Ovis aries: one gene and its partners. The protein of the gene in region 3 purifies or fractionates together with the protein of the main gene of each other region. This does not show direct contact. Links are inferred from orthologs where the notes say so. Each region holds a gene or a part of one and is shown on either strand. Other genes may lie near its edges.

Region 1 (3,500 bases), on a different chromosome or scaffold from region 3:
AAACAGTGGTTCTCAAACACTGATCAGAATTTTATCTTAAGGGCCTATTGTGATACAAGCTGCTTGGCTCCAGTCTCAGTTTCTGAATGAGGAGGTCTGGAATGGGACCTGAGAATTTACATTCTTAACTAGCTCCCACAACAATGATGCTATTGATCTGGAAATCATATTTCAGAAGCCACTGCTCTAATTCAGTGGTGGTTAAACTTTTTGGTCTTAGGGTCCACTCTAAAATTAGAGAACCTCAAAAAATTTTTATTGAAGTGAGTTACAGGAATAGGTAATTACCATATTAGAAATTAAAACTGATTTATCTTTAAAACACATGAATATACAAATACATGTTCCTTTAGCTGTCAAAAATGATGCTATCAAATGTTATGTAGCCTCTGGAAAATTCCACTGTGTCCTTGTACCAGAATGACAATAAAAATGGCAAACAAGTCTTAGTATTATTATGGAGATAATTCTAACCTCAAAAACGCCAAGAAAGGATTTTGGCAACACCCAGGAGTCACATATCTATAGTTTGAGAACCAGTACTCTAGGGGAAATATCTAGAAATTAAATTGATAAATCTAAGGTAAGAAACCTGGTTCAACTTGACTGAGTAACAACAAATTACTTTCTAAAGGGAGCATATTAACTAATAAACTGCCACCAGCAATGTACCTTTCTGTTACTGCACATCCTCACTGACATTTGGTACTCGGGGACTTCGACATGCTTACCTATCTAGTAGCTATAAAATAGTATCCACTGGTTTTTATTTTCTGTCTTCCTGATTATTAATTAGGTTGAGGGCATTATTTTTTCCACATGAACTTTCTGCCAACAACTTCTATTACTAGGGCCTTTTTTTATTACTTCCTTTTGAGTACAAGTGCCAATGTTTTTAAAAGAAGATGCTAGATGTTTTTATTTCACCTAAGCTCCATTATTTGAGACAGTTCTTTATCCATTTCCACCCAAATGCTACTGTGCATTTCTAGGCTGAATGGTTTTATATAGTCTATATTTGGAATTCCTGTATGTTCAATCCAGTCTCCCTCAACCTGGGAACAATTTAAATGTATTTTATTGATAAAAATGTTTTCACAGCACCCTCAGATGCCATTAATCCTTGACTACAGCAGAGTCTTTCAACTGTGAGCCACAGGAAAGCCTCAGAGCACCCTACACATCATTCTCTTTTCCATTTTTCTTCTTCCTGTCCTCCACCTTCACCCCACTCCTTTGACTGTTGTATACACCAGGGAGTTCCAAATTAAGTCTCACTTTAAAAAAATACTGCGTCACTAATAAAAAAATTTTTTTTGAACAATCACTGCTATAATACTCCTAGAAAGATCTAAACAAAACAAAAGCTAAACCACATTAATTTGGTTATAAACAAGGCAGAGACACATTTGACATCACAGAGAAGTTTCTGAATAACTTCAGAGGCCTTTCACAAGGAGAAATTAGTTTAAATTAGACTTACTACTTTAAACTTTGTGCTACCACCTACAACCTAATAACTACTACAAAAGCTAACCGTCCAACAGGAGCTGACTATGAACTAGGCACAGTAAGTTAAACCACTCCAGTGGTTATGCAGTCTCACCTATCACAGTGTTCGCGGGGAGGGGAGGTGGAAGAGGTGGTGCTGGTGGAGCTCCAGAAGGAGGGAGGACAGAAATGTTTTCTAATAAAATAGTTTATAATTCAGGTCAGAGTGCAAGAAAGAAAACTAATCATTCTGAAACAGTAAGAAAGTACAATGCTTTGGAAAGAAGAAAAAAACAGAGAAAGACACCCATATGCAAAGCATGTTAAAGAATAAGAATTTTACAAGGTAAAAAGGTCACTGAGTTCACATTTTCATTAACTATAAAATATGCCTGTTTTTATAAGTAGCTTTTACTCCTTTTTCAACATCCTTGAGAAACTAAGAATTTTTCCCAGTTTTGATTATCGAACTCATTTTTCAAATGCATATTTTAACAACAAAAAGTCTTCCTTTCATTTACTAAACAATCAAGGGACTAATCATAGCTCTACTATGATTTCTTAAATTTTTATATAATCTAAAAAGTAAAAGAGCTTTTCTTAGTTTAATCCCATGTTACATTCAGAGCGTTTACTGATGTATATATCGATTATCATACATAAAAGCAGGAAAGTCACAACCAGCTATCCCAGAATTGATACACCTACCAGCCTACAAGGCAACATCAAAGTTCAGCGATGCATAATTCACATTAAAGACACTGATCTTTCAGTTGAATTATCAACAATATTGGTTTGCTCTTGAAATAGTAATTATCATTCTTGACTAGTACCCAAGTATTTCTAAAGCAAAATGGCCCCAAAGTTATTTAATATGCTTTTTTTATAAGTAAGGAGAAACTAATGTAACTAAATTGCTTCAGACTTCCATAATAAAGCTCATAAATGCTACCACAGATGACAGTGGATTAGGGGATGACATACCTGGTCCAATGGTGGGTGGTGAGGGTGTAGGCACGGCGATGGGAATGCCAATACTGCTGCTGCCACTGTTCTCTCGGCTGCCACTTCCTCCGCTGCTTCCACTGCAAGAGGGAGAGAAACACCATGAAAACAGCAATTCTACGGACTCCTCCAAAAAATGCAATCAACTCAAAGCCACCAGACACTATTAATGATGGATGTGTGTATGCATATGTATACACACACTTACATAGAAAGAAACGTTTTAACTGTCCAATACAAATTTTAACTCTAATACCTGAAGTGGTTTTTGTGTTTCACTGTGTGTGTTAGTTGCTCAGTCGTGTCCGACTCTTTGTGCCCCCACGGACTGTAGCCCGCCAGGCTTCTCTCTCCATGGAATTCTCCAGGCAAGAATACTGGAGTGGATTGCTATTCCCTCCTCCAGAGGAACTTCCCAACCCGGGGACTGAACCCTGGTCTCCTGCATTGCAGGCAGGCTCTTTACTGTTTGAGCTACAGGGAAATCCATGTGTTTCACTATGTTTCTCCATCTACTGAAAAACCAATATAATCATATAGTACTCAGAACTGTAAGAGATCATTGAGAAACGAATGACCAATACAATCTCATATACAATGAATCAGCAAGGATGTAAAACCTAGTATAAACAGCAGTGAACAAACCAGACATGAACTACACTGTCATGGAACTCCTGGTTGAGAATGGGAAACAGACATTGAAAACAGTGGGATGGAAGCCACAAAAGATGCTATAGAAGTTCATAAAAATGGTAACCAACCTTAGTCTGAAATTAATATGCAAACCTCTAATTAATCTCAAAGAATGGTAGTAAGACAGGGAAATTTTTGGAAAAATGAGCAAATGAGAAAGAAGACAGTAATGAAATTTCACCAAGGAACATTCTAGAATAGTAGATACTATTAAATTTTAACTTCTGTGGACTTACTGTCCCTTTAGGTATACAACCTCACACTGACCAGTTTCAGTAATGTGGAGTGGACATATTGTTGTTCAGTTGCTA
Region 2 (3,500 bases), on a different chromosome or scaffold from region 3:
ATTGGGAGTGCTGCTGGCTGTGGTATGCCTGTACTTCTGCACCCTGAGAATCAGCACAAGGCCTGCTCTGGGAGTGCCTGAATGTGCGGGGGAGTTGGGGGTGAGGGGAGGGAGGGGCGGGCTCCCAGGACTCACATTTCAGCATCTTCACGGCCACTTTCATGGTAGCCTGAGAATGGCTCAGGCCATGAGCTGTGGCCTCCACCACCTGCCCAAAGGCCCCGGAGCCCAGCGTGCGTCCTGGGAAAGAGATGATCTCTCAGCTGCTGACTCATGAAGAATCTCAACATGCATGCTCTCTGAGGTCAGGTTAGACATCCCTCAAGCCACCCTGGACGTAGGTGTTTCTCCCATGAAGGCTCCTAAAATCACAGTGCTTTGCGGTCCTTCCTGGTCTCACCTAAGTCCTGCCTACTTTCTGGTCCCTCTTTAGTCCCTGGAAAACCTCTCCCTGAGAGGGGAGCACAGGTTCTCCGTACCCTCTCAGCCTCTCCAGCTGCACTAAGCACAGGCCTGGCACTTCCTCTTTCTCCACAAAGGGGTTTCATCTCACAGCATCTCTGGATCATAGAACATAAAGGCTAGAGGGTCTCAAGGGGGATCATCTTACCCTCATTGTACAGAGGGTAGGGCTTGAGGGCCACAGAAGGCAAGACATCAGCCCTAGGTCTCAAGCCAATCATGGCAAGGCTGGGCCCAGATGTCAGACAGTGTTCCCACCCGCCTCAAGTCCCCAGACTGCCACTTGAGGCCTCCTTGGACTGACCGAGCACAAGCTGGTCCCGTGGCAGCTCCCAGGTGGAGTCGTAGGGCAGCTGCATAGGGTCCACATAGATGTACTCATGGCCATCAGAGCTCACAGATTCAATCACTTTCCATCGGATTTCATAGCGTGGCTTCTGCAGGATCAAGATCAGGGATGGATCATCAGAGGCGGACCACTAGGTCCAGCTCCTTATGAAACAGATGAGACAAGAAAAACTGAAGCCCAGAAAAGATTATCTGAAGTCATACAGTAGATCTGAAGTCATACAGCAAGTTATCAATAGAGCCAAGGCCTTTACGGGCTCCATGGGAACAGATGTAAGGAGGAGGTGGCAGAGAAGCAGCTGACAGCTGAGCCACAGGCTTATCAGGACCTCCTCACCAGCTTCTCCCAGAACCTCAGTTGCTCCTCCGATGGGAATAGAGGAGCACGTAGCCTTGGAAAGTGACATGAGGCAGGGACACTCCACTGGATGTGGATGGCCCCTCCCCATGCCGGCTCAGTCACAGTGGGAATCTCAGAAAGATTTAACCTTAGACTGTTGAAATCATAGGATGCTGGAATCACAGGACTGGAATCTTAGAATGACAGAATCGAGTGCAGCAATCCTGCGGTAGAGTCATGGAATGGTGAAACGGCAGTACAGACCACTGAAATGACAGATTAGCAGGATTAGAATGCCTTTCACTAGAATCCTAGTGTGGGTGAGAGCTGGAAGAATGCTGGAACCCAGGCAGTCCACCTTGAAGGTCTCGTGCCCTGTGGCTAGGATGGACAGACATGATGCCCGAGCAGGATGCTGGGTGGGGAGAGGGGTGCGCTGCAGAGTCGGAGCACTCCAGATGGTCTGGACCAGGCCCATGTTGGTCCAGGCTGCTGCGGTTGGAGGAAGCTCAGACACCCTGCATTACTGTACATCATTTTATCCCCTGAGCTCCATGCTGGGCCCCAGACATGGCCAGATCCTGCAGCACTAGAGGATGGCAGAGGTCCATGTGAAAAAATGGTGTGCCACTCTGAACCCATTAGGCAAAGGCGGGGCTTACCTTCTGCCAGAGCATGATGAGGATAATGAGGGAGATGATCGTGAGGACCACCAAGGCCAGGATGGCTGAGATCACCACCACCTTGAAGGGCAGGGCTGGACGCAGAGATGAGAGATGCTTATGAACAAACAGGACATTTGGCAGCTCCCCTCCCTGCAATCTACCTCTGGTACCACAAAACCTCTCTGCCCATCCTGCCCAGAATGGAACCAGCTCCATCCCCGCTTTGGCCTATGATGTCAGACCTCCAGCCTTTCTCTTCTGGGCCACACCTCCAGCCTCACCCTAAATACTCCCTGCCCTACAGTAACTCCCCCTGGATCACCACTGGCCTCCATATCCCCTCAGCCCTTTCCAAGGTCAGTCTGGCCTGTCTGCCGCAGGTCCAGATTGAAGACAAGCTCCTGAGAGCAGGGCTGTGGTTTACCTTTCCTCTGAATCTAGGCCCTCATGGGGGCTTGGCACAGCTAGGACAGAGGCCGATGGATACAATAACTGAACTCCCATAGCCTGAGGCATACAGACTCCACAAAAGAGCCTGTTTCCCCTCCCCTACCCCCACCCGCCATGATGGCAATCGTAAAGCAGAATGAGGAAGGGGCCAGGCAACAGGGATAACCATACAGGGCCAACTCTGGGCCCCCCAAGCCCTGAGTCTCCTCTACCCTCAAAGCCTCAGCCTCTTTGCTGCACATACCCACTTCTTCCCACTCCCTCCTCATTCAGCCAGACCCTCATCACCCCTGTCCTGCCCCTCTGGCCACCCGTGACTTTCCTTGGAAACTCCCTCCCTCCTCCCCTGTCCCCCACAGGCCCTTTTCTGCTCCCTAGAGAGCTCTAGGGAGCTTACATCTTCTGAGCAAAAAGAGGGGACTTCACCCAGCCATGACAGTTCCCTGCAGGGTGGTACATGGCTTCCCCCTCAGACGGCACGCAAAAGCTTTACTTCTGCCTTGCTCAGAGTTGGTCGGTAGGTGCCCACTTGCTCAGGAATATGAAGGTATGTATAGGAGTGTAGATGAGATAAGGCATTAAAACCACCACCCACCCCACCACAGGGCAGGGGAAGGCAGGCCTGTGTGAAGAAGTATCTGCTTATACAAGCCCAAATACCTACCTAAGTGCCGGCATAAGTGTGTCCAAAACACCTTGTACAACCTGCACAGCTCTGCTCACACTGGCTTCTGGCTTCTCCTGTAGTCCCTTCCCCTTTCCCTCCTCCCCCACCCCCTAAATACATACAAACTCTGTTCTCCAACCACGTTGATTTCTTTAATTGCTCTGAATTCACTTTGCCTCTGGGCTTTTAAACAGGCTGTTCCCTCTGACTGGAGCACCATTCCTCACTAGGCTAATTCCTAGTTCTCTTTCAGATATTGGCCTAAAGCTTCATTTCACCAGGATACTTTTCTGAATCCTATAGATGGGGATGGAGCTCCTTCTCCCTCTAGGCTTTCCCCCCAGAAGCTGACCCTCGCAGTGAGGTTGCCTAGTTCCTCATCTGTGTCCTTTCTGGACCATGGGCACTAGGAGGACAGGCAGGGCTGGGCTTTCTCCAGAGAGAAGCTGAGACCCTGTGACTATTTACTGGATGAGGAAACAGGTGCATAAATGAAGTTTATGCATACAGGTCCATGTACGCACTGGGACTGGCAGGTAGCAAAAGCATCTGGGCACCGTAGTGACTG
Region 3 (4,207 bases):
GGGCCACAGGTGATTTATGCTTGACCGTGTGATCATATATATGGCAAGTGAACCATATTCCTCTATTAGGATACAAATGAATAATTCTGAAGTTAAATACAGAAAAGCATAAATGAATGAAATTGGGGATTGAAGCTGTACTAATGCCTTAAACAATACTTACTGATGATCTACCATGTGCTAGAATCTGCCTGCAAAGTGGGAGACTTGGGTTCGATCCCTGGGTCCAAGATCCCCTGGAGAAGGAAATGGTAACCCACCCCAGTATTCTTGCCTGGACAATTCCATGTGTTACAGTCCATGGGGTCGCAAAGCGTCAGACAGGACTAAGTGCCTAACACTACCATGTGCTAGGTACTGGGGAAAAACAGTACTGACTGACATGATTTCTGATTTGAAATCATGTAGGGGTAGGGAGGTCTCCCCAGGTGGTAAAGAATCCCCTTGCCAGTGCAGGAGACGCTGGTTGTATCCCTAGGAAATGGCAAAAAGCTCCAGGATTCTTGCCTGGCAAATTCCATGGAGAGAGGAACCTGGTGGGCTTCAGATCCATGGAGTCGCAAAAAGTCTGGCTCTTTCAGCAGCTGGATGGGGAAAACACCTGTGCACTTACCAGGCTTCCCTGGGCGGCAAACGCCTACGCAGAGCCACAGAGATGGCTGGGGAGGAAGAGGCAGGTGATGGGGTCTGAGGCTCCGGCGTGGGGAGAACCAACTTACTGATGGCAGGTGTCTGGGGCTGGGCAGCTAAGAAAGAACAGACCTGTCACCGAAAGTCACTGTCCTCACAGCAAGGCTACGGCAACCAAGAATGGAAGCTATCCACGCACCAGGGCGCTTCGAAGGCCCTCAGACTCAGCTTATTTTGGTTTGCGGTTCAAGTTAAGGACACGTCTTACATTTTTCTCTCAGGACTCTACGTTCAGGCCTTTTTGTTTGCTTCTCATTTTCGCTCCCGTCCCTAAGAACTTTCCGCTGGTAAGACCTTCTTCAGGTGCAGAAACCAGAAGGAAGCTCCCAGAGCAGTCGGGGCTTAACTCGGAAAGCAGTCAGTTCTGTTGTGGAATCTCCTGTGGCGCTGAGGAGGAAGGCCCCAGAATAATCAGCCAGAGACACAGAAGCAACAAAACCCAGAAACTGGCAGGGCGCTTCTGTCTCTCTCACTCCCTCTCCACCGAGCAGCCTCAGCTCCACACCTAGCACAGCAATTGATTGACAGGAGGGCTCGCCCAATCCCAGAGCGGCGAAGACCGCCCTCGCGTCAGTGATAGGAGGGAAGGGGAAGACTGAACCTATCAGATTGGGCAGGGAGGGGGGGTTTCCTGTCTGCGCGGGTCCGCCCAGGGCCTCGCGACCGGTCGGCGCTGCAGCCCCGCCCTCCCGCCGCGCACGCCCCGCCTCTCTCCCCAGAGCTACGCGGCGGCAGAGCGGAGGCCTCGTGCCGTAACGGCCATCGCGGCGGCCGTGGCGGCGTCCCTGCCCTCCTCAAGTGAGCTGGCGCCGCCCGGGCTTGGCAGAGGGGAGGTGAGACGGTCCTGCCGGCAGGCAGACGCACAGACAGCCTTTTTCTCGTCTGGGGAATCTACATAGCCCGTTACTTGCCGCGGAGCTTCCTCTTCCCTGCTGAAGTTAGCTCCCGGGGCGCCGTCTGCCGGCTCGGAGCGAAGCCGGAGGGGGCGGGGAGGCCGCTTGGTCGGGCCTGGGCTTTTTGCCTCGCGGCTTCGCGCGACCCTCCGGCCACTGCCCTGGGAGGCGCAGCCCTACGACCTTCCTGTCCCTCCCTGGAGCGTCGGGTCCGGGTGAGCGCTGCGGCCGGCCGTCCCTGGAGGCTGAGAGGTCGAGTGTGTGGCGTGCACCCTCCTCCTTTTCTTTACCTCTCAAAGTCCTGACGGCTTTGTGGCGCATTCCGAGGCCGCGGTGGTGGTGGAGAGGGGCGCTTACCTCTAGGAGTGGGAGGGAGCCGTTCAGGGTGCGGAGGATGGACATCCTCGGGATGCGCCTCCCGCCCCTCCCCCCACCCAGCCCCCTGCAGTTTCCCTTGTTGGGAAATCTGGGTTATTATAATATCATGGATTCGTACGTGAGTTACTTGGGCTGTAAGCTTTTGACTTGAGTTGTAATATATCCGGGGGGAAAAATGTATCTTGGTAGTTGGTTTTGTAACCTTTCCTGTGTGTGTCCATAAAAGTTTGCTATTAGAAGCTCGGGAAGCTGAATTTTGTGCCGGACTGAGAACCCTTACTTTACAGACGCCCAGTTTAGTGTCACACTAATGAACTAGTCACTTAAAAATAATTCTGCCCGTTAACTTTGGCAAGAAACCAGGGGAGTTAGGAAAGGATGAGTTGAAGAAATTTCTATCCCCATCTTGGGTGGTGAGCAAAAAAAAGCTCACTGTTCAGTCAGGACAAGTAAATGTTGCAAGAGGTATTCATTTTTAAAAATCTTACTTTGGTAGATGTAAGAAAGACCAACCATACAGTTTATTAAGCAGATGGAAAGTGCTGTGTCTCAACCCTCAGGGAGTTTACAGAGTAAATGGGGAATTATCCAAGAAGAAGGTTCTGTTTGGTAATTGTCAGTAATATTCAGTTCTTAAATAGATATCCCTCATAGTTTGATAGAAACTCGAGATCTGTGCTTTGGTTGATTAATAGTTTTATTTCATTTTTATTGCAAACTTTACGATTTTCTTCTTTGGAAAATTCTGAACAGTTTGCAGAATGTTCAGGATTTCTCAGCTGTGCTTGTTCATATATTAAATTTTAAACTTGTTTGTTCTGTTTTTCTAAATATTTAGTCTAGATTTTACTAGTGCTTTCAGGTCCTTGAAAATAAAACATGAAACATAACAGGGTACGTTTTGTTAGATATTGAGATATGTTTTAGGCCACTGGATTTTTTGCACCTTTGAGAACTTCCCTGCCAAAACTCAAGGTAGATTTGATGCAAATGTTATAAATCACTTGTCAGGAAGACTTAATAAATCCATATCCTGTCTATTTTATTCTTTTATAGTTTAACAATTTTTACAATTTATTTACCTTTGTAATATGGAAAAATACCAGATATTTTTCTGCCTACACCAGAAGACTAAATGATTTTCTTATTTCGTCAATAAGTAGAATTGGAGGAAACTATTGAAATCACTAAGCATTTAACAAATTCTCTGTTAATACTTTGCTGTGGTGTTTTAGGAAGACAATTGACAGGGCCAAAAATGACATTTAAAGATTATTTAATAAGGCAACAATTCTGTCTGGATGTTCCTCACTTTATTTGAAAGATAGAATTTATAGTCTTCCTTCAAAACTGATTCCATATGCTGACTTTGTTTTGGTGATATTTATCATGCCTTAAACTACCCAGGCATAAGCCCTGGTTTTATCTTAAGACTTCCTCTCACCACATAACATTGCCCAATTTTTGTCAGCCATTTTCTGAAATTTCTTTCAGATATCTGTTCTAACCACTCGTTTTCTTTTTTCCCCCCAGTAGCTTTTAACCGGATTTTCTGCCTCTTTTCTCCCTTAGTATGTTCTGGCTTCTGCCTTGTTCTAAAATAGTGCTTCCACCACCCTCACTGTTAAACCAGCATTAGTTCCCTGTTATTTCGAGTATAGTTCAGAATTCCCAGCCTTCTAACAGTCTGCTCAAAACCTGTTTTTTTCTAATGATAACAGTAATTCTCTATAGGAGCTGTCCATCCTAACACAAACCAATCTCTTGTTCTCATCTAGATTGTGTATTTTCCTGCCTTCATGTCTGTTGACACTTTGCCTGTTTATTGCTAGTATTTTTTAAAAGAAATTTTCCTCCTTAAATTAAGTGGCAAGTAAAGTCAGATTTTGTTAACATTTCACATTTGGTCCTTCTGCACAGCCTTCTAGATCTTTCGGTTTCTGTGTTGTTGCTTTCCTTTGAACCCACAGCCCTTACTGTTTTATCATTTCTTTGGTTTTTAATATGTGGACTTGTATTATAATACTACAGAACAATATTGTGGGAATGTTGAATCCATCCTTCCATTTTATACATAGGGAAAATGTAATCCATACAGACTAAGTTCACTGAAATTCACCTAGTGACCCTGGCAGAGCTGACTTACATATACCTTAATTTCCTACTTGATTTCCTAACTCAAGTTCTGTGTATTAAAATTTATGTGTGTATTCTTATGAAGCTATACTTCTTTTCATCTCTTGCAG
Region 4 (4,122 bases), on a different chromosome or scaffold from region 3:
GTGGGTTGCCATTTCCTTCTCCAAAAGGAACTATAGAAAGGAAGTGAAGTTGCCCAGTTGTGTCCGACTCTTTGCTACTCAATACTACTTTGCTGAGTGAAAGAAGGAATGAAACTCCTTGAGAGCTACGACTGTAACTACTCCAGCTTCATTTTCTTGATAATTCTTAAAGCTCTGAATGCACTTCTTGCTTAACAAATTTGGTCTGACCTGTAAATCTCATTGCATGATTTTTTTTTTAATGAGATAAAATATTTCAATAATGTACAAAATACTGCATGGTCAGCAAAGGGGGGGGGGGGGAACTGTTCCAGAAATTAAGATCTCATTCTTTACTGTCTAATAATTGGAGACTTCAAATATTAATCTTTGCAACCATTTCATACAGCAAGAGCAGGTAACTCCAACAGTGTGGTTCTAAATGACAGAAATCCATTCTTTATCTATCGCTGTATTCTTACATGTCTGTCATTTCTTTGACACCAGTAAACATTATAGGAAATGCAGAGCAATTAGTCAGTATGCTTGTGTATAAATGTAATGTCCCTCCCTGCCTAATGTGTCTGGTATGTAACACATAGTACAATTACTTCCTTTTCTGAGACAGATTATATAACATAAGTAGTGTACCAGAAAATTTTTTTAAAAAACTTTTCATTTGCAGATAATGTCACATTCAAATGGCTGGAGATTTTCCTAAATTGAAAATATGCACAAATTAGGGCTGCTTTAAGAATCTTACACCTTAATTGTATCAGCTTCTGATGAAAAAAAAAAGTGATTATTTCTTTAACACTACTTTTAAATAAATAACAAGTAAGAAAAAAACTTCTAAAACAACATGATGTAGTGGAAAGTACAACACAACAGGCATGAGGAGTCCTGCTTTTCTAGTTCCGGTTACATTACTAAATTGCTGTGAGACAGAGGGCTCACCGGCTCAGTTATCTTGTTTGTTTAAAAACTGTGTGGGGAGAGTGAAGAGGGGGCTTGACTGTCTTCAAAGCTGTTTTCCCAAATCCTGATTCTAACGCACCTTTTTTTATTCTGATCAGGTCTAACTTTTGAAATACGAAACACATCTGCACGTAACGTAATGATTCAATCTCCTACCAGGTGGAACAGGATACAATGGGTAAACTCCTAGAAAGTTAACAATTAATCTAGTAACTTCCCAGAACTTGTCTAATCCTAACTTCTTAAACAAGCAGGTGCAGTCTGGGTGACACATTTAACATTAGAAGGAAAGCTGTAAAAGGTACAGCTCTGTTGACATTTCCCTCGGTGGTTCCGGGGTGCCAGTGGCACAGACTCTGCAGGTGTTAACCAGTAAAGAGGGGAGAAAGGGAACTGAACAGCGTTTCAACAATCTCAACCACAGCTCAACTCGGCCACCCCAGTAAGATGCAGGCTGACAAGGCCTACCCCACAGAGCACAACCTCCCCACCCCCAGAAGCGCCAGCAGCCAATGTAATGAATGCTTCCGTCAACAACACATTCCCCTTCCCACAGCAGAGCTGCTGGCTCCAACCAGCCATCTGGAGTTGGAACAGGCCGCACAGCACCGACCTAAGTAAGACCCATTCTCAGATCCCAAAAGGCAAGAACTGCTGGAGATCGCGGTTCCCCTGAGCTTGGTTCTGGGAGAGCAGCATCTCCGACCAATGCAAACAAACAACAACAAAAACAGTGGAGAGGAGAGAAACCAGGCCTGAGAGAGACTGCTGGAGAAATAAACCTCGTTTCTCTGCAGTGGGGAGCAGCAGCATTACCTGCCCCCCGTTCTAAACCGATGGACTCGACTTCATTCCTTCCTGAGATCCTCAAGGGAGAATAAAAGACGACCTTACGGCCCGATTCATTCATATCTGAGTTTCGGTCCCCGACCCACACCCACTCCTGAAACCAATGGCATTGTGAAGGAAAGTACCCCCACATCGGGGTCGTAGGAGGAGAAGCGAGAGCCAGTCCAGGAGCCCAGTTACTACGATCAGGCAGCTCCTATAAAAATATCCCCGCGAGGCCTGACAGTAAAGTCTGAACCAGCAGCAGAGGCACGGACCCGGGTCCGAGCGAGCAGGGCTCCAGAACAGGCCTGCGGACCTGACACTTCCCTGCTCCCTGGGCAGGTCCGAGAGGCGGCCTCCGGCCCGCACTGCCCGCACCCAGGGAGCCGGGTCAGAGAAAGGCCTGGCCAGCAGTCCGATTCTCCCCGCGCCGCTCCCGCCTCCTTCCCCACTCCCACCTCCCGGCGCTCCCTCCCGGGCCCGGGAGGCTAAGGTCGGGGGCGGCGATGCGGGTCTCACACACTGACCACACATTTCTTGCCGAGGAAGGTGAAGAGGGACTCGTTCTCCTGAGGGGTGAGCAGCAGGGACCCCACGTTGGTGACCCTCCGCGGCGGCGGCGGCTGCTGCTGGCCGGAGCTCATGGTTTCGCCGGCGGGGTAGGGAGGCCAGGGCCGTCTCCTCGGGCGAGTGGGCGAGCGCTCGTTCCCCTTCTGGGTGACAGGGGCGGGAGGAGGGGAATCAGAGGCGTAGCATCTCGCAGCTCCTCCGGCGCAGGGAGGAGGCCACGGAAGGAGGAGCCGACGGCGGGCCGCTGTGAGAAAGGGAAGCTCCCCGTTCCCGCCGGGGTAGGCTCTGGCCGGATGGTCGTTGTCCTCGCACTCCGGCGACTGCGCTAAACTCCCAACTCCTCCCCCAACCTTCCTTCGGCGGCAGTGGCGGCGGCGGCGGCGGCGGCGGCAACGGCCTCACAATCCAACATGGCAGCGGGGTACGGGCGAGACCACAGGACGCGAGACGCGGGGGAGCGCGCCGGAAACGCGCGGCTGCGGGCCGGGCCCGGGAGGAACCCCACCTCCCCACGCCGCGCCTGGCTTCGCCTAGCCGGCCCGAGGCCACGCCCACTTCCGGCTGAGGCGCGGGCTACGGGCGCTCTGCGGTGTGACGCGGGGTTGTGGGACCGTCGCAGCGTTTGGCGTCCGAACTGGTTCCTCGGATAGTCGTCCTCTACAGAGGCTTGAAGAGAGGAGGTGGCTCGTCTCCGCCAGCGAGCTGTCATCCCCTCTTCTGAGACGCACACCTTTGCGGAGCGTCATTGCAGACCCGTCCCCGAAGTAGCTTTTTTCTGAGACACGAGAAAAAAGATTTTCGAGCTCCTGTCAGAAAATTCTGGAAGCTGGAGACGGAAAATGAGAGAAGGGACGCCCTTCCCTGTGTTCCTCGCCAGTTCGCTCAGAGCCGCAGGTGCCTGCGGTTTCTCAGACACTGTCCCAACTTCAACAGTGGAAATGGATGAACAGGCCTCTGCCAGGATTGTGGAAGAGACCTTGCTGATGGACGTTCCTAAAAAGCAAAGGCACTTAGAAAAGGTTTCTACTGCCCGGTGGTATTTCTCAAAAGGATACATGTATTTGTAATATTGCAGTTTGGGTTCGTTTCTCTATGGGTCCTCCACACATTTCCCTGATGTTTTATGAATTGAAAAATATTTCCTTTTCCCCTCCTCGTGTTTTTCTTCTTCTCAAACACCAAAGGCCTTGTTTACTTTTTATCCAAAATGAATGTACCCATTTAGAGATGTCACTCAGAAAAATACATCTAACTTAATCCGAAATCTCAGGAATCTTTTAAAAATTTATATTCAATATTGGAAACTAGAGTAACTCCCTTTGCTCAGTAGGTTAAACACTAGACAGCTGGCTTAAAACGAAGTTTGGTAATATGGAGATGATAAATAATACACACTGCCCTGAATTATAGAATAAACATCTCCACTTTAAACAAATTAGCATTTATTGTATAATCGTTACCATCGTATTTGTTTATTTTTAAACAAAAAACATGTTAAACTCAAGACATCTATCCTTTAACAAATGAAAGCTGGTAAAACTATTTGATTTTAATATTTCTGAAAGCTCCCAGTACAAATCTTGGGTGTACTAAACAGATTGTTAAGCCATTATCAATACTCTTTAAAAAAATTATTAAAAAATGAAGGCTGCCTTAATGAAATTAACTGAGTGGAAATAAATCTAAAAGGAAAATGTAATCATAGTTCTGTGAGTCCTCACATAAAATATGGATATGTCAAAGTTACCTTGGTTTACAGTGTTA
Region 5 (4,261 bases), on a different chromosome or scaffold from region 3:
TGTCGGCCCCGGCCCGTGTCTGCACGGGGCGTGTGGAGCCCCGCACTCCCGCCGCGATGACCGAGCATCGCCACCTGGTGGACGGAGCAGAAGCAGCCTCCGACCCCGGAAACAGACGCCTCCAGCCTCGCGTGGGGTCTGTATCTACCGAAGCTGCTCCTGCCTGTGGCCCGAGCGCACGTCCAGCCCCAGGACAGCGCATCAGCCGTGGTCCTGGCAGCCAGGGGTGGCTGGGCTGGGCCGGGGCATGGAGTCACGGGGGAAGCACGGTTCTCAGAGCCAGCCTGGCCGCTCACAGCCGGCCACCCTCTTGCTGAGTGCTCACATCAAGCCCATCCCTTCACGGGGCGGGGCGGGGCGGGGGGGGGGGGGGTTTGCCGGCAGGAGCAGCGTGCTGCCTGACGGACAACCTTCATGAGATGCCACAGATCTCCTCCTGCAAGGCCTGCTCCGGGTGGAGTGCTGACGTCCGTCTGAGCCCACCTCTGCTCCAGAATCCAGACCTCCACCCTTGTCTACACTCACTCACCCGGGTCCTAATTCAGCTTGACCTGAGGTGCTGCCATTGCAACCGCCAAGAGTCTCCACTGCAAGCCAAGGTCAAGCACAGAAGCCCAGCCTAGAGCTGTGGGCGCCTGAGGGCCCTGGGAGTGGTCCCTCGGGCCCACTCCTCCCCACACAGTGAGGGCAGAGCGCCCCCATCCGAGGGGCCAGGACAGCCCATGAGTGCACCCGTGGACGAGGCCACTCTGCTGCTCGCTCAGGCAGAGGAGGGGAAGCACCAAGACACACGGGGACCCGAAAAGGAAGAGCTGCTCTGACAAGGAAAAAGAATAGCATCGCAGCAAAGCCACAGCCAAGAGCTTAGCGCGGTCCTTTTCTAAGCTCCTGCCTGCTGACAGGAGGGCGCGGTCTCTGCCCGTGGCTTCCCCTCCCCTCAGGTTCAGCAGAAAGACACTTACCTGCTGTTACTTTATTCAGCGTCACTAAGGAGCTGAGGACCTTGTTGAAATTCTGCCCCTGATACAAATCGTTTGCATCAAACGTCTGCAAGGGAAAGAGAATAAGCAGAATTAGCCGAGCCCGGCACTGGCGGGGCGTGGCAGTCTGTGCAGCGGGAGGAAGACAGTGGGCTTTGCAGGTGAGACCCGGGCAAGGGCACCCGAGGAGCTCAGCTTCCAGGAGGCCGGGCCACTCTGCTCCTGGGGCTGAGTCCAGTTCTGAACCACCCTGCCCCACCCTCCCAGCGACCTGGGGCACTCCTGGCACTCAGAGAGGGCTCTTCTCCTTAGACTGAGGCCAAGGCTGCTGGGCATGCCTACGACAGACTTCCTCTCCCGGTCACAGCCCAGGCCAAAGTCAGGAGCAGCCAAAGGGAAGCCCAGATGCTGGAGTGGACACAAGGGTCGAGGGAGAGGAAGCGGGGAGCCAGACTCCAGAAAGAGGGGCGCCTCCACCCCAGAGACCAGGGACACAACCGCACTGGCCCAGCCCCGCCCGCCCAGGAGCTGGAAGAGAATGCACGTCGGGCTGCCCAGACAGAGCGCCACGGTCTCGGACGTGTGCACAGACACCACGGGCTGAGACACACACACCTCACTCCCAAACGCTGTCTGAAGATCACACACAGCTTTGGATCACTAAATAACAACAACTCCCCACCAAAAAATTTAACCATCAGATGATCCACAACTTGTGCCAGAGAAAGTAGGGAAAGAAAATTCTTTCAGAGATGCAGGTAACAGAAAGATGTGTTCATATGTCAAAATGAAAACTAGGATAACATACTTCAAAGATTCTCTCACCGGGGCAAAAGTGACCTCCGGCGGCCAGCCATCCCAGGAACGGCGTCCTCTGCAGGTCGCCCCAGCTGGTTCACGGTTCCTGCGTCTCACATCCTGCCAGGAAGCCCGGCTCCTCTTCCTGCCTCCCACCCCCTGCGCAGCCCCGGAGGATTCAGCACACTGCACAGTCCCCGCACAGGCCGCTGCAGAAACTGAAACCCGCCCCGCAGCCCTCACCCCCCACATCCAGAGAACAGCCCGCACACAGTAAGAAGGCAGCAACCCGCCCGGCTCCCACCATCCCACCTCCCCGCCACGGCTCGGAAGGTCTCTGTGAGGACAGACCCAGGACACAGGGCTGCTCCAAATCTCGACAGTCACTGCCGTCTCTGGCCCACTCTCCTGCTTTACCTTCTGAGATGAGTAAACATCCTCGTGAGGTGAGCTTAGACGTGAACCAAAGAAAGAAAATCCAAGAGCTGAACAAACCAGCTCCAGAAAGGAGGCCATTAAACCCAAGTTGAGAGAGGAACGCAAACAGAGCTGGGAGAGGGGAAGAGTCGTGAACTCAGACAGCCAAGCACTCTGCGACACTGCTCACACCTTTCTCGCAGATGGAGCAGGAGATAAAACGTTCGTGATGCCAGATCCTGCCCGCCTATGAAAACGAGTACCCCTTAGGACAGTCTCTGGAATCCCCGTGATTCCAAGATTCAAGTCAGAGGAGACCGTGATTCAGGCAGGCGTGTGCAGCTACATCTGCAATGGGCTGGCTGAGTTCTTTATTAAAAGGAGGGCCCTGAACAGGCCTCCACTCCCTTCTGTCAGAACACAAAAGCTCCTTCTCCTGGAAAAGGTGGGAGGAGGCAGTCTCAGCTCTCAGGTCCTAATTCCAGAGCTTGGAAAATTCAAATTGTAGTATTCTGCAAGAAAAAATATACATAAAAGTATCTACTAACCTTCATCGTGGTAAGGCAGAGAGTCACAAAACCCAGAAAAACAGGATGTTGAAAGCTGAAGTTTCCTGTTATTCCAGAACTATATATCTTACTTGGACACCAGGAAGCGTCTGGTTGGCTGAAGCAGCCCACCAATGGGCTCCAAAGTGATGTCAGAACTTAAGTGAATTCACACACACACCACACTTCTCAACAGGAAGCTACACAATGAGACCAGACAAGCGCCTGCCACCGAGAGGGGAAGACGCACATTCTGAGTCAAAGATGTTTTGACTAAAGGGCTTCTCTAGAGAAAGATAACCAATTACTTCCTGAAACAGGAATGTATTCAACAGAAGAAAAAAATCTTAGGGTTCAGAGAAAGTGGGAATAACAGTGCACAGTTACCCCGGGGCACTCACGCTTCGGAGACAAGCCTGCCCGCCCGTGGACCCTCTGCCAGTGGTCACCTCAGTCCATCAGGGCACCGAGGCTCCCAGACAGAAGTCCACCCGCCCAGCCCCACCTGTGCAGCAGAGAAGGCAGGTTCTCGAGCACCCAGCGCCCGGAGCCGCCGAGCGCACGGGAGGGCTAAGGCGGACCGTCACGCGCCTGAGCCGAACTCGACCTCCCAGCCGTCACGCTCGCTCCCTACACCACCCTCTGACACGCTCTTTCCTTACACTTAGCATCACACGTGGTATCAGGCTTGGTCCCTGAACTAACACCGGACACAGGAGGGCTCACCCATCCCTGAGGAGGAGATGAGGCGCCACACGCCAGCCGCCACCAGCACCCACGGCGGGGCGATTCGGTCAGGGTGGCCCGCCCGCCAGAGCAGGAGCTCTGAGGCCCCCGGCCAGAGGATGACCACGCCGCCCTCCGGCTCCCGTCTGACTGCAGTCTCCCAGCCTCCGCTCGGCCCCTCCCCAGGCGCAGGGTGGGCGCCCCGACCCGCTGTCCTGCCGCTGGCCAACAAGAGCCAGCCCAAGCAGCCACTCTGAACAGGACACTGCCCTCACGTCCCAGCAGAAGCTTCAGGAACCTTCCAGCATAAGCAGGGCACGGCGCTCGGGAACTTCTCCCCCGGCCTGAACCCCAGGATAAAGAGGCCACTCAGCACACCCACGCCGTCTCCACAGCCAGCACAACGGGCAGGACACGCCTGCCGAGTGGTCAGCCACGGAGTCGTGCAGGCTGCTGGTGGGCAAGCCTCCTCTGGGTAAGAGCAGGACATAAACCCACGTCTCCCCCAGTAGAGCTGGCTCCTGAAGAGAGAGTACAGCTGCTCCACAGACCTGCTCAGGGAATCTCCCAGAAAGACCCCAGGTCCCCGGCTCGCCCTCAGAGGGCTCGGGCTCTCTCAGGAGACGTCCCCTCTCCCCCTCGCGTCGGCACCTCTGCAGGGGCCACTCGAGCTGTGAAGGAGGGTGGGGTCCAGAGATGAAGGGAGACAGGGCCCTGCCCAGGGCCCAGGGCACCTGTCGACCTAACAAGTCACCCCAACACCCAGACGCCCAACCACAAGCCGTGGCTCAG
Region 6 (3,500 bases), on a different chromosome or scaffold from region 3:
TTTTACTAAGCATCAGGCAGTGTTCTAGGGGCTTAGGTTACATAAGAAAAGAAAATAGAAAAAGATTCCTGCTTCCATGGTGTTTACATCCCAACTGAGTGAGAGAGGGAGAAAAATAATAATAAATAACTACATAGTATAGGGGAATGTGATAAGTGCTATGGAAAATAAACAGAACAGAGGAGGAGTGAGGGGCTGGGGAGCTGAAAGAGAGGTGGACGTGGGTGCATTTTAACTAGACAGCTGGGTGGGGGGACATGAGCAACAGCCTGCAGGAGGGGAGGTCACTAGTCAGGTGGCTGTCTGGAGGACAGCGCTCCAGCCTGTGGTAGGACTCAGCTAGAGGGCGTGGGTGTGCAAGGCCCAGAGGAGGGGGAGGCTAGCCAGTGCAGGGACCCTGTCGTGCAGGGTCCAGTCAAGACCCGCCTTCACTCGACTGAACTCAGCACTTCCGGGGAGACTGGCGGAGATGTTTCAGATGGGACAGCTGACTCTTGCCATCCCCTCCATGTTCCCTGCATCTGCCGGTGGCACCACTGACCCGCACAGCTGTGTAAGCTGGAAAACTCCGGACACAACTCGGGTAAATCTACCTTCCCACTTCCAATGTCTAACTTGTCCCCAAGCCCTGCCTTTTCTGTCTTCCTGTTTGCCCATTCTCAAGTGTTTGCTGAGCCCCCTGTGGGCCAGGTCAGGGATATTCAGCGGTAGGCAGGCCAGCCAGGCCCCTGCTGCCCTGGCCTCGGGCTCACTCTCTGCAACGGTGACTTTTGTTTTCCATCCAGACCCTCCCAGCTGAAGAGGCCCTGAGGTGAGCCTGCGTCAGCTCTTGTTTGGACCTTGTCGGCACCTCCCTGCCTGGGTTCCTCTCCTCCGCTCCTGACCCACCAGAACGGTCCTCCCCAAACAGAGGACCCAACAAGGTGGACATGGTGTTCCCGCCCTGCCTAAAAGCTTCCTGGGCTCTGCGCTGCCAGCCAAGGTCTCAGCTCTTCAGTCTGGGGTCACGCTCCTGCACGGTGTGATCCCCGCCCTCTGCCGCAGCTCAGACTCCCTCTCCTTTCAGGCTGCCTCTCCACGTGACCAGACGTCCCCCAGATGCCTGTCTCACCTCCGCTCAGTCTGACCCCTCCCTGCCTTTCCACGTGCCCACGTCCCGGGCCTTCTCAGCCTCCCCTGACACTCCCTGTCAGTGACAGGCTGTGTCTGTGGATCGCCTGCTCCCACCCCTCCGCTCCTGTCTGCACTTATGACCCTCGAACCGCGGTTCCCTCTCCTCTTGGTGAGGACGGCCTCACAGAGGAAAGAGACCAGCCCTCATTCAGGAGAGTATTATCCAGAGAAGTTTGGGTAATACCCAACAAAAGTAAACATTTGTTGAAAGAGTAAAACCCACCCGTCCCTCCTCATAGGTTTTATAAAGTTAATACTGCAGCCGGGCTGTGAGTCAGCAACTGACTCAGGGGCAAGGGACCCCCTATTTTAAAACTTTAAAATATTTACCTTGTTGACCTTTGCTTGGGCCAAACTAGTAGAAAACCCAATTTTACCTCCAGAGCACTTTTCCCAGGCCTAGCCCTCGAATGCTTTACAAATCAGGCAAATTTTTAGGAGGAAAGATCTGAAAAAGAACATAAGCTCACTTTCTGTGTGCAATGCACCACCTTACCTTTTGCCTGTGGGCCTTGCTTGCAGTGGCTTCCGGATCCGTGTCTTCGTCTGACGCCACACTGTCGTAGTCTGGCTGGTCATTGTCCTGACTCTCAACACTGTGCTGGTTACTAATTGTTTTCAGTATCAGTTCTACATTGTCTGTCAACAGAAGCAAATAACTTTACTTCAGGCTTGAAAAGAACTTCTTTTTTCCTAAAAGAAAAATGAGCCATTTAAAAGACTGGAAGAAAAATGACAGAAATAGCAAGGTTCTATTCACCCCCAAAAGGGATAACAGAGCACGTTATCAACCGGACAGAGTCTACTGAAAACTATAGAGAGAGTGAAGCAACCATCTGAGATACCTGCCAAAAATGGGCACGAATTAGATGGCTAGGGAAGAGCTGCTCATGTAAGGTGGCAGGTTCCCAAATCTGTAATCATTCAAGGAAACAGTATAGCTCGAAATCACGAAAATAAAGCTGTAACTAAAGTACGATTAACTGTAATTCAGTTACAATTGTAACTCTTTTACAGGATTTAACATCAAGTCAAAACAGAAAGAAAACTGCTAAAGTAAGCCTAGAAACTAGGAGACCACTGAATAGGCACGTTGGCCTTTCCTTAACTGAACGCCAGGGAGAAAGAGAGAGAAAGAAAATGACCCACTGGATACAGACCATGCAGACCAAGAGCATATGGTTACTGGGAAGTAGCGATGGTTCTATCAGCTCTGACACATTATGAATGAAAGATTTCGCAAATTATCCAAGTCTCTCATCTCTCTTTCAGGCAACTCAAGCAAACCTCAAATTTCCAACACTGTTTATGGAAATTTTGAAGGATAATATCTGGGTGATAAATTATGTTTACTCAAAGGGAATTTTAGTTTTCAAAATGAATATGTAATATATATATATACCATCAGATTACAGAAGTAGTAAGGACTCAATATAGAAAAATTGAAACTAATGATAAGAGTAGTCATTCATAGCTATTGATACATGTCATTCTATTTTCTGCCAGTCTTTTCCCAAGCATATACAAATACAGACAGTAAATTTTACTATTTGTAGCAGTCACGGTCTATAAAGTTGCTGTGAAGAACAAATCAGCAAATACTGAACCACTGTTCTGAGTGGAAATACAGTTAGGTTCCTGCAAACATCTGGTCACATTTTTGTCAACTGATAAATACATAACCTTGTTTCACATGCGTTTCTGTTTAAAGACATCTTGAATATATATCATTGATCCATCAACATTGAACTCATGGTTAACAGCACTGTAACTCAGGCCTGAACAAAGCTAATCTAACACATGTATTTTCTGTAAGACATGTCACCGCCTTCGTGTGCTCAGGAATGCTATACAGCTCTTCAGCACTGTACTTGGGGACCACTTTAAACAGTGAAATTATCAAAAAATGTGAAAAACTGTGGCACTAAATAAATATCAAAAAGGCTACCTGCTTACAGTATAAGAGCTGAAATAAAAGGAAGAGCATGGCCTTGCTCAGTCTCACATGGGAACATGTGTTTTGGGTGACTCAAATTTTTTACCACACTGTACAGATCCACAAATTACCATCAAAGTGCTGTAAGATTTTAAGGTAATAATTTTTAATTTATTTATCTTTTTGCTGCCCCATGAAACTTGCAGAAATCTTAGTTCCCCAACCAAGGATTGAACCTGCTCCCTTGGCAGTTAAAGCCCAGAGTTCTAACCACTGGGCTGCCAGGGAATTCTCAAGGTAATAAATGAATTTTAATGAACAGGTGAACTGGCAAATATGAGATCTGGGAGTAATGGGGATAAATAAAGATATTCATTTGTACATATGCATG
Region 7 (3,500 bases), about 36 Mb from region 3:
GCTAAGTCGCTTCAGTCGTGTCCGACTCTGTGCGACCCCATAGACAGCAGCCCACCAGGCTCCCTCATCCCTGGGATTCTCCAGGCAAGAACACTGGAGTGGGTTGCCATTTCCTTCTCCAATGCATGAAAGTGAAAAGCAAAAGTGAAGTCGCTCAGTCATGTTCGACACTACATGGCAGAGACGGGGATTCTCCATCCCCCCTTCCCTGCAATGCTTTTGATTATCATTGCAGGTAAATAATTATTACTGCTAAGTTCATTTCCTCCCTACATTCTCTGTAAGCAGAAAAATGTTAGCTGTATTCACAAGATCTCCTTTCTTTGGACAAAATACAACGTTTAAGAGGTTCCAAGGGAAAAGCACATGTTTTGCAAGCCACTGACCATTTATTGGGCTTCCCTGGTGGCTCAGCAGGTAAAGAATTCACCTGCAATGCAGGAGGCTTGGATTCGATCTCTGGGTCGGGAAGATCCCCTGTTGGAGGGCATGGCAACCCACTCCAGTATTCTTGCCTGGAGAATCCCATGGACAGAGGAGACTGGCAGGCTCTAGTTCATGGGGTTGCAAAGAGTTGGACACAACTGAAGCAACTGAGCATGCATGCACGACCACTTATCAGTTATTTTGGAGCCTTAATGTTATTAAATTAGTATCTCAGAGGGAACAAAGGACTGCTTTTTATTTGACTAGAGAAACACAGTTCTCTTTCTTTTGGGTTGATAGAGGGAAAAAGACTTAAAGTTGAAATGATGCTTGATGTACAGAAACTGAAATTCTAAACAACTTATCTCATGAACACAGCCTAGAAGGCAGGGTTCAAAGGAACAAGAAGCCCTGATAACTGGAGGTTTACTATTGCTTGGAGAGGAGGACTGGTAAAGTTCAGGCTGGCAATCCAGCCTCACATTCCTTTCACTCCCTGGTCACAGTCCACACAAGGGGTCCTCAGTCCTGCTCACAGCACCGGCTCGGTGGTGACAAGCTGCTGGACAAAAAAAAATTCAGAGCTTCTGCAACTGGCAACTCCACTCAGAATGAGCTAGCTTCTTTGCCCTCCAGAGGTGAATGTTCTTAGTACAGTTCTGTCTTATTTACAGACTGACTCCTTCCTAAGGCTTTTCATATGAAGAGAAAAATGAAAGCCTTATGATCAAAACCATTCCATATTTTAGGATCTGTACAAATAGTCATAACCTTCATTTCCAGTCTCTTTTCTTTGACTAGCAAGAGACTGTCCTCTTATGAACACAATGAAGAATAAAACAGTACCCCTAAGTTCCTTTTTATAGTCTCAACAGAGGCCATTTGCTATTTCAGCTGATCCTAAAAAGGAGTGTACTCATGAAACATGTGAGGGGAGTTTGATGAACGACAGCAACAAACAGCATCTGTTACCCCATAAAATCTGCTGTGATACTGTAAGGATATTGTTTATTTTCCAGCTTCTGTTCAGACCTCTACACCCACCAGTAGGTGGATGCAACTTCCTGATTGTAGGAATATACATGGTTGGTAAAAAATTCCAGAAGAGCAAAGAGCATCACTGTATTTCAGTGACACTCCACAATTCCAGAGATGACTTCCTCATGAGAACTAGTCCTTTTGCAATTTGCCAAACTAGGACAGCTCTGCAGCTGGTCACTATGGCACTTCTTTGCCAATTATTTTCTTTCTTTCTTTTTGGCTGAGTTGGGTCTTCATTGCTTTGCCGGGGCTCTTTCTAGTTGTGGCGAGCACGGGCTTCTCACTGTGGTGGCTTCTCTTGTTGTGGAGCATGGGCTCTAGGCCTGCAGGCTTCAGTAGTTGTGGCTCACAGCCCCTAGAGCATGGGCTCTGTAGTTGTGGTGCATGGGCTTAGTTGCCCCAAGGCATGTGGAATCTTTCCAGACGAGGTATGGCACTGAACCTGTGTCCCCTGCATTGGCAGGCTGATTCTTAACCACTGTACCACCAGGGAAGTCCTCTTTGCTAATTACTTTCTACTGTCTCAATAGTCCTCAGGGCACATTTCTTTCTTTTTTTAATTCATTATTTTTATTTAATATAAATTTCTTTATTTTAATTGGAGGCTAATTACTTTACAATCTTGTGGTGGTTCTGCCATACATTGACATGGATCCGACACGGGTGTACACGTGTAAATTGGAGTATAGTTGCTTTACAATGCTGTGTTAATTTCTACTGTAGAGCAAAGTGAATCGGTCACACATATATGCATATATACTGTCTTCCTTGGATTTCCTTTCTATTTCGGTCACCACAGAGCCACAGGGCACGTTTCTTGACCTGATGCTAAAAATCATCTCAGATCAGGCCACTTTGTTTGGCTGGCTTCATCACACGGTCCCTGAGGTTAATGGTCAGGGGTACCACACCCAGACTTCATTTGTAGTTTTACTCCCACATTTGAAAACCTGCCAAATAAGGTAAGCCAGACTGGCTTCTGCATTGATTCCGTGATTCATTTGCTCATTCATTCATGAGCCCACATTATACACTGGTTTCTGTGAAAGGCTACTGAAGAAATAAAAGACTTGCCTCTGGCCCACCAAAATTTACAGTCCGGGTGGCCAGTCAACATGCCTTAGAAGTGAAAAAAGAACAAAGGTGGTATTTTAGGAAAGCAGTAATGACAACGGTAGGTGGGGCTCTTCCCTTCACCTTACCCATCTTCCTTCCCTTACCTTGCTCTGATGGGTTGAGATCCTAATCTGGGTCCCAGAGCACTACCATTTCCAGGAGAATTCTTTCTTGCTAATGCTGGGGATATAGAAGTTGTTCTTTGAGGCACCTGAAAGGAAACCAGAATTCAGAAATATTTTCCATAAAATAACTTCCATGTGGTACTGCCTGAAATGCAGCCTACTCCTTTCCTAGGATCTGCCAGGAGACATGGAATGATCAGAAACAGGAAAGAAACATCTCAAAGAAATACTTAACTCCCTAAACAAAATCAAAGGAAAGGCAATGAGGCACATTTTAGCAACTATTAATGAGTATTGCCTTCAATGTTAAAAACAAATTTAGAAACACAGCAAGTGAATTACTTTGATGTACAGGGCTAAAATAATTGCCTTCCTTTGTGTGCACAAGAGTGGTGGACACCAGAAATTTCTTTGGGGTATCATGAACTCAGTTGGCCATTGGAAACTGCATCTGATGACAGTCATCCAGATAAACAGAGTTCCATTTTTAACTCACAGCACAACTAATAAACAGATGAGGAAACTATGAAATCTGGTGAGAAACTAGGGTATCAGACTAGAACTTGGGACATAAGCTCAGTGAGCTCAGAGAAATGACTGGAATAGGTCCTAAATATTTCCACTTGCTAACCAAGTTGCAATTGCTAATTCAAAACAAACTCCTACCACTGTGATTCCAGAGGTCAATTTGCAAATGTAATTTAAAACACAGGATTAATAATGAAACTGCTGGAAGGTCTTCAAAAAACTATGTAAGTACCAGTTAGACTGTGAACTACAGTTGGAAATTGT

Evidence for each region.
Region 1: the proteins of NCK1 (region 3) and ABI1 purify together in Homo sapiens (co-immunoprecipitation; 4 studies listed by BioGRID and IntAct, with this or other methods). This does not show direct contact. The link is inferred for Ovis aries from reciprocal best matches to the Homo sapiens genes NCK1 and ABI1.
Region 2: the proteins of NCK1 (region 3) and PDGFRB purify together in Homo sapiens (affinity purification with western blotting; 3 studies listed by BioGRID and IntAct, with this or other methods). This does not show direct contact. The link is inferred for Ovis aries from reciprocal best matches to the Homo sapiens genes NCK1 and PDGFRB.
Region 4: the proteins of NCK1 (region 3) and WASL purify together in Homo sapiens (co-immunoprecipitation; 4 studies listed by BioGRID and IntAct, with this or other methods). This does not show direct contact. The link is inferred for Ovis aries from reciprocal best matches to the Homo sapiens genes NCK1 and WASL.
Region 5: the proteins of NCK1 (region 3) and ARHGEF7 purify together in Homo sapiens (co-immunoprecipitation; 3 studies listed by BioGRID and IntAct, with this or other methods). This does not show direct contact. The link is inferred for Ovis aries from reciprocal best matches to the Homo sapiens genes NCK1 and ARHGEF7.
Region 6: the proteins of NCK1 (region 3) and GIT2 purify together in Homo sapiens (co-immunoprecipitation; 3 studies listed by BioGRID and IntAct, with this or other methods). This does not show direct contact. The link is inferred for Ovis aries from reciprocal best matches to the Homo sapiens genes NCK1 and GIT2.
Region 7: the proteins of NCK1 (region 3) and TNIK purify together in Homo sapiens (affinity purification with mass spectrometry; 3 studies listed by BioGRID and IntAct, with this or other methods). This does not show direct contact. The link is inferred for Ovis aries from reciprocal best matches to the Homo sapiens genes NCK1 and TNIK.

The regions. Positions count from the first base shown.
Region 1 is NC_056066.1:17,230,811-17,234,310, reverse strand, and holds part of ABI1 (abl interactor 1), read right to left. Parts: intron 2,577-3,500; coding exon 2,476-2,576; intron 1,688-2,475; coding exon 1,607-1,687; intron 1-1,606. UniProt on the Homo sapiens protein: May act in negative regulation of cell growth and transformation by interacting with nonreceptor tyrosine kinases ABL1 and/or ABL2. May play a role in regulation of EGF-induced Erk pathway activation. Involved in cytoskeletal reorganization and EGFR signaling.
Region 2 is NC_056058.1:59,246,384-59,249,883, forward strand, and holds part of PDGFRB (platelet-derived growth factor receptor beta), read right to left. Parts: intron 1,908-3,500; coding exon 1,813-1,907; intron 900-1,812; coding exon 767-899; intron 241-766; coding exon 136-240; intron 1-135. UniProt on the Homo sapiens protein: Tyrosine-protein kinase that acts as a cell-surface receptor for homodimeric PDGFB and PDGFD and for heterodimers formed by PDGFA and PDGFB, and plays an essential role in the regulation of embryonic development, cell proliferation, survival, differentiation, chemotaxis and migration.
Region 3 is NC_056054.1:252,945,119-252,949,325, reverse strand, and holds the start of NCK1 (cytoplasmic protein NCK1), read left to right. Parts: upstream 1-1,407; 5' UTR 1,408-1,523; exon of another isoform or gene 1,524-1,798; intron 1,799-4,207. UniProt on the Homo sapiens protein: Adapter protein which associates with tyrosine-phosphorylated growth factor receptors, such as KDR and PDGFRB, or their cellular substrates. Maintains low levels of EIF2S1 phosphorylation by promoting its dephosphorylation by PP1.
Region 4 is NC_056057.1:89,673,191-89,677,312, forward strand, and holds the start of WASL (actin nucleation-promoting factor WASL), read right to left. Parts: upstream 2,801-4,122; 5' UTR 2,433-2,800; coding exon 2,316-2,432; exon of another isoform or gene 1-2,315. UniProt on the Homo sapiens protein: Regulates actin polymerization by stimulating the actin-nucleating activity of the Arp2/3 complex. Involved in various processes, such as mitosis and cytokinesis, via its role in the regulation of actin polymerization.
Region 5 is NC_056063.1:84,832,088-84,836,348, reverse strand, and holds the start of ARHGEF7 (rho guanine nucleotide exchange factor 7), read right to left. Parts: upstream 2,801-4,261; 5' UTR 2,750-2,800; coding exon of another isoform or gene 2,744-2,749; 5' UTR 2,295-2,743; coding exon 1,806-2,294; intron 1,048-1,805; coding exon 963-1,047; intron 1-962. UniProt on the Homo sapiens protein: Acts as a RAC1 guanine nucleotide exchange factor (GEF) and can induce membrane ruffling. Functions in cell migration, attachment and cell spreading. Promotes targeting of RAC1 to focal adhesions. May function as a positive regulator of apoptosis.
Region 6 is NC_056070.1:63,467,486-63,470,985, reverse strand, and holds part of GIT2 (ARF GTPase-activating protein GIT2), read right to left. Parts: intron 1,813-3,500; coding exon 1,670-1,812; intron 1-1,669. UniProt on the Homo sapiens protein: GTPase-activating protein for ADP ribosylation factor family members, including ARF1.
Region 7 is NC_056054.1:217,053,465-217,056,964, reverse strand, and holds part of TNIK (TRAF2 and NCK-interacting protein kinase), read right to left. Parts: intron 2,795-3,500; coding exon 2,688-2,794; intron 1-2,687. UniProt on the Homo sapiens protein: Serine/threonine kinase that acts as an essential activator of the Wnt signaling pathway. Recruited to promoters of Wnt target genes and required to activate their expression. May act by phosphorylating TCF4/TCF7L2.